2 linked regions of the Rhinolophus ferrumequinum genome follow. The protein of the gene in region 1 purifies or fractionates together with the protein of each later gene. This does not show direct contact. Links are inferred from orthologs where the notes say so. Each region holds a gene or a part of one and is shown on either strand. Other genes may lie near its edges.

Region 1 (6,274 bases):
GGTTTGTCATAGATTCACAGGAAATTTTTATCAGCCAAGGGGACACTGTTGCACTTGAAATTTCAACTCCTTTTTAAGGGAGTTGTGAACTTTATGAACAGAGTAAAAAGGAGATGCCCTTTGCCCTGGGAACACGTTTCTTTTGAAATAATTGCAAGACAAAAAACAAAAAAAAAAGGAACTGTTAAAAAAAATTTGTGTAGAAAAAGCCTGATTTCATAAAACTGTTACAATACAGAGCAACAGAGTGAATTATACAAAGAGAAGGCCTAAAAGATGAAAATATCAGTGGAAAGCAACTCCCCTGGATGGTCCACTCTCACAGAGGGTTGAGGGGAGTGTGAAGCTTGCAGGGGGGGGGGCGGGAGGGCGGGGGGGGGGCAATGTAACAACAGTACCAAAGCTTTAAAAACACTCACCCTCTATTAAGCCAGTAACTCCGTTTTTGGGAACGTGGTTTAAAGAAATGAAGCTATAAAGATCGTTGCACAAACATGTTCATCCCAGCATTGTTTGTCAAATGGGGACAACTCAACCCTCGGATAATAGAGGAATCCTTAAATTATGGTACATGTACATAATGGAATGACTAGTAAGCAGCCATTAAAAATGTTCTAATGATTCAGTATGACTTCACAATGCTGTTTAAAACATGTTCATTATGCATATAAAGAAACAACTGAGCAGAAATACACCAAAACATTGGCACTTGAATGGTCTGCTAACTGAACATTATCTCCAGAACTTGGTATTAAGTGATGAGAAAAATTCTGCGATGCTACAAATTAAATTATAACCGGCTGGAAAGTGAGCAAAAGAGAACAGTTAGCTTGTTAGTAGCTGGGGGCCAGCTAACAAGACTGCTCACATTCCTTAGTGTATGTTGGAACTTTTAAGTTCCAGGTGGCTATTTCCACAATTATCTAAAAGACATAATAGCCAGGTGCCATCAAACCGTCCACTTCTTGTTTAAGTATGAACTTTCTAGACTGTTGCCCACCACTAATCCAAAGAAGCAAATGCTTCTTCCTTATGGATTCAGTGCCTACCCTAGAGCTAGCTCTGCAGCACCTTCTCCCACCAGCTTTATCTGTAGCCAGTGTAAATTCTTTCAAAACAACCTACATCTTTCTTCCCCAAACTGTTTCCCTAAAAAAGCCGGTTGACACCATGTTGCCTTCTCCACCTGGCGCGGCTGCTGGTGGTTTAGAATATATGCCCCGGGCCCTGGTCATCTTTTTTTCTAGCTAGCAATGACCCAATAAACCCTTTCTTTTAAAATGACTTTCAGCCGTGGAAGTTAAAATTTCTGTTCAACGAAAGCATAGGATATAGTAAGTGCTCAACGCATTAAAAATAATAGAAAATGCATACGCAACGGAAGAAAATTCAGCACATTTGGGGCTTAATATACCTCGGTTGTGTCTGAATAATGGTACGGCCTATGGTCTTTATAGTTTTGGGTTCCGAATTTTCTAGAAGTGCCTGTCATCACATAAGTTACGGTCATCACACAGGATGGACAGACAGACCAACGCCCTTCTGCGGGCCTCGGGCAGGAGCAGGATGGGGCGCCGAGAACGTGGCCCCTGGGACTCAGGGCTCCTCGGACCCAGCGCCCCTCCCCAGGCCGACGCCCGCAGGCCACGACCGCACCGCGCCGTCTGCGCGCAAACATGGCGCCTCGCTCGCCTCGCCGGAGCCGAGCGCTCCCGAGCGTCCCCGAAGCCGGGAGGAGCCGGTGAGCGCGCCGGCAGGAGCGCCCCGCCCCGAGCTTGGGAGCCGCGGCGCGGGCGCGGGGGAGGGGCGGCCGGATGTGAGTGGAGCGGCCATTTCCTGTTTCTCTGCAGTTTTCCCCAGCTTTGGGTGGTGGCCGCTGCTGGGCTTCGGCTTCCCGTTGGCGGAGGGCGAGGCGGCGTGGACAGCGGCCCCGGCACCCCGCGCCCTGCCGCCCGCAGCCGCGCGCCCGCCCGCCTGCCGCGCCCCGCGCCCGCCGCTTCTCGTCTCAGCGCCCGGCCGCCGCCTCCGCGGCCCAGCGAGCGGCCCAGATGCAGGCCATCAAGTGTGTGGTGGTGGGAGACGGGTGAGTGCGCGGCCCGGGGGCGGGGGCCGGGGCCGCACGGTTCTGGGGGCGCAGCGGGGGCCGGGCGGGCGGGCGCGCGCGGGGCCTGGGCCTCTCCGGGCCGTGGGCGGGGGGCGCGAGCCGCCAGCCCTCCCTGGGACCCCGCGGCGCGCGCCGGGTTCTGGCTTTTTCTCTCCCTTTTTGGTGGGGGAGGGAATCGCCGACGGCGGCCGGAGGGAAAAGTGAACTCCACCCTCCGCTTTCTCCCCGCGCCCGCTGACCGCGGGGCCGAACTTACCTGGCGCCGCGCCGCCAGCCTCCTTCGTTTGCCTGTGGATTACGTGGGCTTAGAGAGTTGCCTTTCTCTTAAAAGGACCTTTTCTTGGCTTAGATTTAACCTCTCGAGCCCCATCGGGAGCTTCCGTGCGTCCCGGCGCTCAGGTCGGTCGTCAGTGACCAGAATTGGCCTGAGCTGCTTTGGGGACCCTACGCTGGTTTGCCAGGGGGGATCTTCCACTTGGTACTTCGCCACTTTTCGGATTTTTTAAATGATTATTTTTGCTCTTTCCGTGGAGAAAGTTTTAAGGTTCTAGCTGCGAGGAGCTGGGTGTGATTGAGACGGTTCTTTCCTCCGAGCGTGGTGTGGTCCTTAAAAAAAAATTGGCCTTCGCTTCTTGCGTTAGGTATGGGATGTAGCAGAACAGGCTCCCTGAGCCGAGCGGCCCTGTGACTCAAGGCGTTTCTTTTCATTACTGTCTGTGGTGGTTACAGGCCCTAGAGGAAGACAAAACTTGTCTTATGCAGTTGTTTTTCTCCCATAGAAACAATCTCATTGTAATCCGAGCAAAATTGTGTCTCAGCATTGCTCGAGTAGTTAAGCGTAAACAGGGAAGCTCCAAGAATTACTACCAGTTTCGTCCAAGTCAGAGTGCAACTGGTACATTTTTGGAGTCGGGTGAAGTCGGACGAAGAGTTCTGGCATCACTGTGCCTTTTGATTAATATTCCCCAGTCGTGTCGTTAGGACTGGTGTAGCTTTTATACCTCTCAGTGAGTTTATGAATTCTCAGCTTATGTCGGTCATTGCAAAGTAAGACATTTGAAATTGTTTCTGGAAGAAAAAAAAAGTCACTACTGATAATTCAGTATCTAGCCACAGTAATATTCTTATTTGAAAATTTCTAAAACTAAAACATAAGCATAGCAGATATATTTAGTTCATAACCTACGGAGTGGACCTCTACTGTTCCGATTGGCTTATCTAGTCAAATACTTGTTGAATGCCTGCTATGGGATCTGGATGGTTCCTTCAGACCCACACCCCACCACTTCTGGGGAAACCCTGAGCATATCACTCATCCCCCAGGAGAGGTGTGGCAAAGGGAAGTGGTGACGATTCAGCTGGAAGTGAAGTGCCTCACCGTGCGGGCCCCTGCTGAACGCTTTATACGCGCCAGCGGCGTGTTATTAGGACTGCTGTCTGTGTTACTCTGAGGCGCTGCTAGGCTCTGGAAAGGGAGTATTAGGCAGAAAATAGTTTCTGGACTTGAGTTTTTTGAATTTTGTAACACTGTGTTTGACATTGATGTTGACTAGGGCTGAGCGATATTAGTGAAATGTACCTTTACAAAAAAAGTTTCAGCTGTATTATTTAAAATAAGGGACAATAGGTAGCAAACATTACTTCAGTGCAAAACTTAGATACCTAGTTTTACATACGAAAAATATTTTTCTGCTTTTACCCAAATAAAATAAATTCCTGGTGATACAGTTAGAATGTTCTTTTATTCAAAAATTGTTGGGGCTGGCCTGGTGGCTCAGGCGGTTGGAGCTCCATGCTCCTAATGCTAAAGGCTGCCGGTTCGATTCCCACATGGGCCAGTGGGCTCTCAACCACAAGGTTGTCAGTTCTGAGCTGTTGCTGTGAGCTCCCGAATGGCTCAGTTGGTTGGAGCGCATCCTCTCAACCACAAGGTTGCCGGTTCGACTCCTGCAAGGGATGGTGGGCTGTGCCCCCTGCAACTAGCAGCGGCAACTGGACCAGGAGCTGAGCTGCGCCCTCCACAACTAAGACTGAAAGGACAACAACTTGACTTGGAAAAAATCCTGGAAGTACACACTGTTCCCCAATAAAATCCTGTTCCCCTTCCCCAATAAAATCTAAAAAAAAAAAAAAATTTGTTAAAGCTGTTAACTGTGGACCTAAATTTTGTGGGGCTGAGAAATCAGTTAATGTTGTGTGGACTTTCAGGCCGTTAAGGGCAGGTTAAGCAGTGAAGGCAAAATAACCGAGGTTCCACAAATTGGAAGCTTCCTTTGAAAATATTCTTGGGAATTATGGTTAAAGGCTATGTCATGTTATAATTAGGGTCAATTAGCCTATATTCTTCTAATGGATATTTCCTATGTGGCAGTTTGGCATTGAGTGTAAAATATGACATAAATTTGGTACTTTTTAATTCTAAGACAGTCGATCCTAAACACAGGGTCTGTCACTTTTATTTGGGTGACCTCTGCCCCGAGATTTTCTCTCAACTTCACTTAGGTAAGACAGCATCTCACATTCAAATATTGATAAAGAACCATTTTTAATAGTGTTGTTTTGGCTTTGGTTTATTAGAAGGCTGGGAGTGAATGACTTGAAGCCCTCATTTCTCTCACTATAGAAACTGGTGTCCAGATGGGGCTAGTGGTCCCTTTAGCCTTTAGGACAGATATTGCTGTCCAGGAATTTCTTTCCTTGAGCAAGGTAAATGGCCTTCCATGATGTCATCTTTATAGGAGTGTGTGTCCACCAGTTACTCTCCACTTCCATTGAACAGTCAGCGATAGCATGCTACATGAGGCTGTTTTTTCCCCCCTTCTTCTGCCACCCCCCATCCCCCCCCCGTCTGGTTCAAGCCATTGTTTCTCTGTCTAGTTGGGTAGGACACAGCTCCCTGGCCCATGCTGGTCTTATGAGCCTTGCGCTCCCCTGGCTGAGGCAGTTGGTCACCAGTAGTTGGTCGGCCGCTCACGGCAGCTCACGGTAGCCCACGGCAGCACACAGCACCCATGCTGACCTCCGGCAGCCCAGCTCCAGGGAGAGCCGTTGTTCACAATCTTAGCTGTAGAGGGTGCAGCTCACTGGCCCACGTGGGAATCGAACCTGCGACCTTGGTGATAGGAGCACGGCGCTCCAACCACCAGAGCCACCTGGCTGGCCTGAGTTTTTTGTTTTAAGCTTCATGAATTGTCTGTATATTTTCATCTTGAGACAAAGGTTCCATATTTTTGACTTTTTGTGAAGGTGTCTGAATTCCACGCTGGCTTCCAAATTTAGGTTTGGTATTTCATTTTAGTTGGTAAAATTATACATAGTGCTTTTTAAAAATGTTTCAAACGATAATCCAGTTAAAAGATTGGGATTTGGTTTAGTGGAGGAGGACCAGGAGTCCATTTTTAGAAACCTTAAATTCACCTTTTATGATGTTCTTGTCTTTTGCTTTAGTCACCTCATGTCTCAGTCCTTCCTACTTTTTCACTTCTACATCACCAGGTAGCTCGCTGTCTTGTAATTGTAGTCTTTCTAGAAAGGAGATGTTTAATCAGGAATCCTGCTATTGATTCCTGATTGGCAGTTACCAGATGCTATCAAAAGGAATCCTTTTCCTCTGACATCTTAGTGTGAAAAATTTCGAACATACGGGAAAGTTGGAAGAATTGTGTAGTGAACACATATACCCACCACTTGGGTCTGTAATCAACATTTTTCTGTTTGCTTTATCACATACCTCCCCATTATTGGATGGAATAGTTTACAAGGATTTAATAGAGTTGATTTTGAAGGAGAATGAGATTGATATGCAGTTAGATATAAATTCTTGATTTGAACTCTGTATCTTCAGCTCACATATCACTACCCCCCAGGGTTAGGATTGGTGGTTCTAGAAGGGCGGTATAGAGTCAAGGCTGCTTCAGACTTGAACTGTACTATTGGTAGTATCTTCAGCTTTGAGTGTTCTGGAAACTACTCAGAATCTGAATTTTTTGAAACCTCCAGCGGTGATAATAGATGGCTTTCTGAAAGTTGGTTGCAGTGTTCCCTGTTAGTAGCAAAACATTAGAATTTCAGACTGGCTTTGGTATTTTTGCTGCATGAAACGACTCTATGAGTTCATATGTTTTCTAAGTAGTATATTCTCTGCATAGTTATGTGTGTACCGAAGGCCTG
Region 2 (6,274 bases), on another chromosome or scaffold:
AGATTGAAAAGATTATGTGGTTTATACTGTCATAAAAATGCAGACAGCATGAACCTTATAAACACATGGTGAACAGATCTTACTCATTTTTTCGGGCAAGATTTTTGAACAAATGTTTCAATCCCTAGCCAGCCGGGAAGATGTGCCAGTATTATAGACACCTCTACATAGGCTGAAAGAGTCAAATCTGGTGTATTTGTATGCAAAATTACACAAGGAAGAGCAAACCCAAAACTATTATTATTAAAACTACATATATATTGGGGCAGCCAGTTGGTTAGAGCGCAATGCTTTTAACAAGGTTGCCGGTTTGATCCCCCCATGGGCCACTGTGACCTGCGCTCTCCACAACTAGATTGAAACTACTTGACCTGGAGCTGATGGGTCCTGGAAAAACACACTAAAACAAAACAAAAGAAAACAAAACAAAACCACACATGTAAATATATATATTATGCTATATTTTTAAATATATATTGTATATAACTATCTATATAACTATAACTATATACACACACACGCACATAGTATCTGTTTCAACAAGGCCTAACTGAAGGCCATGAGGACCAGGTAAGGTCCAAAGTACTATAAATTCAAAAATGTATGACTGTCCCTGCCCAGAGGGAATTCAAAATCAGGCAAGATAGACAAAATATTTCTCAACAAACTATAAATGTGTTAAGTGCTGAAACATAACATAATATTTGACTCTTGGATATAATGGTTATATTCATTTTAATTTTACTAGTTCAACAATATAGGAGCTTGAAGTTTCTCAAAACAGGAAGTAAACATATATATGCTTTTGAGAAAAGCAGTAAACTGGAATTATAAGAATTCAAATGCTTACAATTTAGTATTATTTATTTATGAAGATGGAATATGTAAAGTTTGATTGTATTTATACCTGTTTATACATGTTTAATGAATGCTTAAAAAGATACCTTGCCCAAATACTCAAATCACTTTTGATGTTACTCTCACTTCCTCTTCTAGAAACCATCATAACCATTTCCTTTAACCACAATACCACAGGTCTAGTAACTTTTAGTAATGTTTGAATTTCCACAAATGTTAGAGGGTAATCTCAGGAAAAAAGTTCAGGTCAATGCAACCTATAAGTAACACTATCCAAAATGAAATTATTCCCAACCAACATAAATTTATAACTAAGGCTCTTGGGTAAAAGCAGAAGGCTTCTTTGTAATGACACTGAGCTCCTGCCACATAAAATATAACAAACTGAGGAGGCACGTTGCAATTACTCTCCAGAATTCACTGGATGTAGGGTCAAATCTGGCATTCAGGTGAGCCACCTGAACACAGCAATCCTTATATAGGATTTATTACTCTTAACCCAAGACAGTATTCTCCTTTAGAATTACCATGTCTGCATCAAATTGTTGAAATAAATCAGTTTTATACTTAAACTCCACGATATAAATTTCAAAAACATATTCTTCCTTCAGCAGCCCTAATTTACAAACACAGTAATTCTATAGCTATGGTTAAACTAAAAGAAAATATTCATGACAGATTAAAAAGCCAACAAAAATAATTGTGAAGATACGACATCAAATACATACTGGAAACTAAGGATCTATATTGTACCCAAAAAACTCCTTAATTTTCACTTTATCAAATTCTTTAAAACTTACTACACTTCTCTTAAAAGGAAAAAGGTTTTGGTTGTTTTCTCCTAATATAAATTAATATGTTGTTCTATCTTTACATCTGTTTTTCTTAACTCCAATTCAACCTTCCATTTCTTAATCTGCTGAATCCATGTAAAGACTTTCCATAGGCCTATTAACCCATTATAACTATTTAAATTATCAGAATATACTATGAATCAGCGGTAATGGCAACATATTTACAGTTTTTAATTTGGACAGACCCCGAACTTTAAGAAATGGTGTTTTGGCACTATGAGACAGGGTTGAAAAATTAAGATGAGGAGGAGAACAGAGGGAAGGGAGAGAAGGTTGTTATTCCTGTTCTAGTGACTCACAGCCCACAAGTATTTCGGAAGAAAACTGGTTCCACCCTCACTTCCCACTTCTTTCCACCTTCAAAATGAACCACTTTCAAAATGAAATACGCAAATCGTCAACACGCTCTCACATGGCTTTTATTTAGCAATCTAAAATAAAGCGGCAAAGTGAAGACGATGCGGAGTTCATCCTGATTAGCCGTTCCCTTCCCACATTCCCACACTTAGACATCAAAAAATTGGGGGGGAAAAATGCTACCATCTCCGCCAGATTGCTACCTTTCCACCTCAGTTATAGAACACCCAAGTGCCCCCCTCCCATCTCGCCCACCCACCACCCTCCCTTTCCTGATGACCCCATTCCGGGGAGAGGGCAGCGGCGGCGGCAGCGGCGCCCCTCACCCCGTGCGAAGCCCGGCCGGATCCCGCCACTGGGAGCCGGGAAATGGCTTCTCACTGCCTCCGGCCGGCCCGCGAACCATCGGGGGAGGCGCCCGGGACTCCGCATTAGGCCGCGGCGCAGCCCGGAGACTTCGGGCCGGGCCTGAGGCCGCGACGCCGTGATTTCGGCCCTGGGCGCCGCCCGCCGCCCCCACCCCCGAGCCTCCCTCGCTGTCCCTCCCTCCCCCGCCCGCCCGCCCGCCGCCCCCGCCGAGGCCTCGCCAGCCGGTGCGCACCTTCTTGATGTTGTAGAGGCGGGTGAGCATGCCGACGCCCCGGTCGTTGAGGATGGTGAGCTTCTCCGCCAGCTTCTGCTGACTGGGCTGCAGCACCGAGCGCGACATGGTGATGGTGATGGTGGTGGTGGTGGTGGTGGTGGTGGTGCCGCCGCCGCCGGCCTCCTCGCGCCCAGTCACCGGCCCGCGGCCGCCGCAACCTCTCTCGGGCCTCCTCCCCTCCCACCCGCGACCTAAGCCTCAGGGGAGCGCGCCCATGCCCGTGCGCCCCAATTCCGCTCCAGTGACAGAGCGAGCCGCGGCAGACGCTTAGGGGTCCCTTCCCCGCAGCAGCCCGCGCCCCGGCAGCCTCCTGCCTTCCGCCCGCCGCCCTTCCGTCCCCACCCCCGGCGCTCTCCGCCCCAGCCCCCACCGAGCCGCCTTCCCCGTCTCCTCCACTAGGTGTGGCGGCAGCGGCGGCAGCGGCGGCAGCGTCTCCGGCGGCTGAGAACGAGGCCGCTTCCCGCAGCCCGGGCCGAGCGCTCGGTCACCTGATCGCCGCGCCGGCGCCCCCGCGAGGCCGGACCGGGAACTGATCCTGAGGGGCCCTCGTTCGCCCCGCCCGCCTGGCTGCGCTCCGCGGCCGCTTGCGACGGCGCGCGGGTCTGCCAGCGGCCGGGGCCGCCCGCTGCGCCGGGCGTGGGAGTCCTCAGCCGGGATCGAGAAGGGTCACGTTTCTACGCTCGTCCCAGTTCGCCACACACCCCTTTCCTGCAAGTTCCCAAAAGTTGCCTTGCCGCACCACCTCCCTAAAGAAATCAGCAGAAGCCTGGGGGCGGGAGGGGAGGAGGTGCGGGTTTCAGGAGAGTTTCGCCTTCGAGTGGGCTGGTGGCTCCAAGCTCTGTTTCCTCCCACTGCTTGACAGACGCTCCCCGCTGCACACAGCAGTTGTGCTCTGCGGAGCGGGCTTCGCGTCTCCCATCCTCCCATCCCATCCTAACTCCGCCGCAGCAGGGCGGTTTGGGAGGGAGGAGATCGGAAGTGAGGGCGACACAAGTTCTGAGATAATCGGAATCCGGAGTTTGTCGACGGGCAGCACCCATCCGGAGAAGACGCGAACATAGAGGGCCTAGTATCTGCGAGGCGAAAGATAAATGTTCGTTCAATGAACGAAGGAACCCTCCCCCCTTTTTTTTTCTGGACTCCACCTTAAATCCCACCCCTCCTTGGGAACATTCTATTACTTTTCTAGCTCTTGGTTTCTTCCCCCCATGAGTTTCTTTCCTGTTAGACGCCAAAGCTATTATTCCCTGTGGTCAAATCTATGAGAAATCGTTCCAAAAATGAACAAATCAAGGACTTAAGTAATCGACTGGGGTTAGGAATTCCAGCCAAGAGGATTCAAGCCTCTTCGATATTTTTGGCTTAATTTCCTTCGGTGTGTTAACCTTTTCTATTATCCTCATTAATTTTAAGTGAATGACAAAATGTTCGGCCACCTTCAATAAAAGACATTCTAAGAGTAAATAAGCTATCATCGGATTGATCAAAATATGAAGAGGAAATGGTGATATAGCTTTTTAAACTTTTCTTTAAAGCTAGTGTATGTATTATTCCTACGGAAATCTTCGTTTTAATATCCCAATAAGAGAAATGGAGTGGACTGAGTGGATTTGATTTAAGAGGCATGAGGGTCCAGGAAGTCAGTCATACCTGACCTTGTGCTTGTGCTTGAAATTCTATACATAGAACTTCATTACCTTGAGTGAATGCTTTGTACCTAAAGAGTTCTTTTTTTTTAATGCAAACACTTCAAAGAGATCACCTATTGAGCTATCATTAGTCAATAGCACATTGTGGTTTTAATTTATCTGGTTACTTTCCAACCTGATAGTTAAATTTTTAATTTAGAGGAAGCAAGCATTTGGAGCTTGAGGTAATAAGAGCACACCTGGGAAAAGCCAGGCTGTGTAAGGGTTTGGGGCAACCAGACAAGAAAACTGAAAAGTGTTGAATGTTGGGAGAAAGATGTGCTCTTTTAGGAGACTGCAAAGAAATTTAACTAGAGACAAAATGACAGAGCACCATCAATGAACGGTTATATCATTTTCTAGTTTTACAAAAGTGCTACATAGAGGAACGAAAATGGCACCATATTATAATTTAAACGCAACTATTCCTCCTCAAGAAAAGCCACCATCATGTTTCCATATGAACTTGAGCGCTTCTAGCTGCTTATCACTCAGAGAGGACCCAATAGAGGAAGAACTTTGTAGATACTGATCTCATTATTCAATTTTCAGTATAACTAATTTTTAGATATATTGGCCCTAGACTGAATGGAATTTGTCTATTGTAAAAGAGATTAGTTCTAGATGAAGTAGTCACAATTTTTGCAGTTCTCTACATTTTACATCAAAAGCATTTTGTTACTAAGATACAACCCTTTCATAGTTTTCCTGTATGTGTAGTATATAGTGTGAGTGCCTTATAATATGTGAGTAATAAGCATATACTTTGCCATGGATATATGATTTTTGTGACAATTATAATTAATATGTCATTTTATATTTCCTTAAAGTTTTTCAGTCTTTGAATATGTCATACCATGTGAATCATCCTATAAAGTTATTATTAAAAATTGCTACAGCAGGATTTTTTTACCTGCTGTAGTTTTCTGGAAAAGTATAACATTTTTTAAATGATTAGGAAACTAAATTTTAAAATGCATGATTGAAGATTTTATTTTCCTCATCATATAAAGCATAATCTTCACAGTTCCTATGGTACTAAAGATTTTCAAACAGTTTCACTTCCATTAAGTAGTTTGTCTCCAGAACATATTCAGAGATTATTAAAATTATTATAAGACTTCAGAGAGATGTAGAAAGTAGATAATAGCTTCACATTTGTAGTAATCTTAGAAAATTAGCTAGTAAAGTTACCTAGTATGCCTAGACTAGTATGCCTAAATAATTGTGAACATAGATATATAACTTTTTAAAAATCAGATTTACTGAGATATAATTTACACATAGCAAAATTTACATATCTGTTTCTGAATAATTATTTTTTTATTGAGACAATTATGATGATACCCCTGTAAAGAAAGTAAGCACTGGAAAATCCAAATTGGAAAATACTTAAACTAAAGGAGGAGTGTGGTTGGCTTTACAGAAGAATTTATAGTAGAATACATATTGTGTCCACCACATATAGTTTACAGTGATTCAGTTATAAAATTCTACTCATGCAGCTTTTGATACATGTATTATAAAGCATTCAGCCATGTATAGTAACACTCCTGGAGGGATTTAAACAGTATTTTTCAATTCTATATAATACATTAAACTATCAAATACTTAAAATGTGCCAAGTACTGCTGTTCTAGGAGATATGAGGCTGTTTAAGACACAGATTTTGATCTCCTTGAACTCATGTCCTGGTGGGAATAGAAACATGCACAAGGAAGTCTTATATAAGTCAGCCTGAGATACAAGGCTATAAGACAAGACCTAACGAGGAATTTCAACCTGAAATATCTAAGAGCCTTTTGGAATAACTTACATTTGGGCTTTGAATGAGAAGTCTTGGACTTGCAAACTTGTAGAAAATGACATTCTAG

The links.
Region 2: the proteins of RAC1 (region 1) and NCKAP1 purify together in Homo sapiens (pull-down; 4 studies listed by BioGRID and IntAct, with this or other methods). This does not show direct contact. The link is inferred for Rhinolophus ferrumequinum from reciprocal best matches to the Homo sapiens genes RAC1 and NCKAP1.

The regions. Positions count from the first base shown.
Region 1 is NC_046307.1:41,103,141-41,109,414, forward strand, and holds the start of RAC1 (ras-related C3 botulinum toxin substrate 1), read left to right. Parts: upstream 1-1,851; 5' UTR 1,852-2,048; coding exon 2,049-2,083; intron 2,084-6,274. UniProt on the Homo sapiens protein: Plasma membrane-associated small GTPase which cycles between active GTP-bound and inactive GDP-bound states.
Region 2 is NC_046291.1:43,731,761-43,738,034, reverse strand, and holds the start of NCKAP1 (nck-associated protein 1), read right to left. Parts: upstream 3,803-6,274; 5' UTR 2,779-3,802; coding exon 2,671-2,778; intron 1-2,670. UniProt on the Homo sapiens protein: Part of the WAVE complex that regulates lamellipodia formation. The WAVE complex regulates actin filament reorganization via its interaction with the Arp2/3 complex. Actin remodeling activity is regulated by RAC1.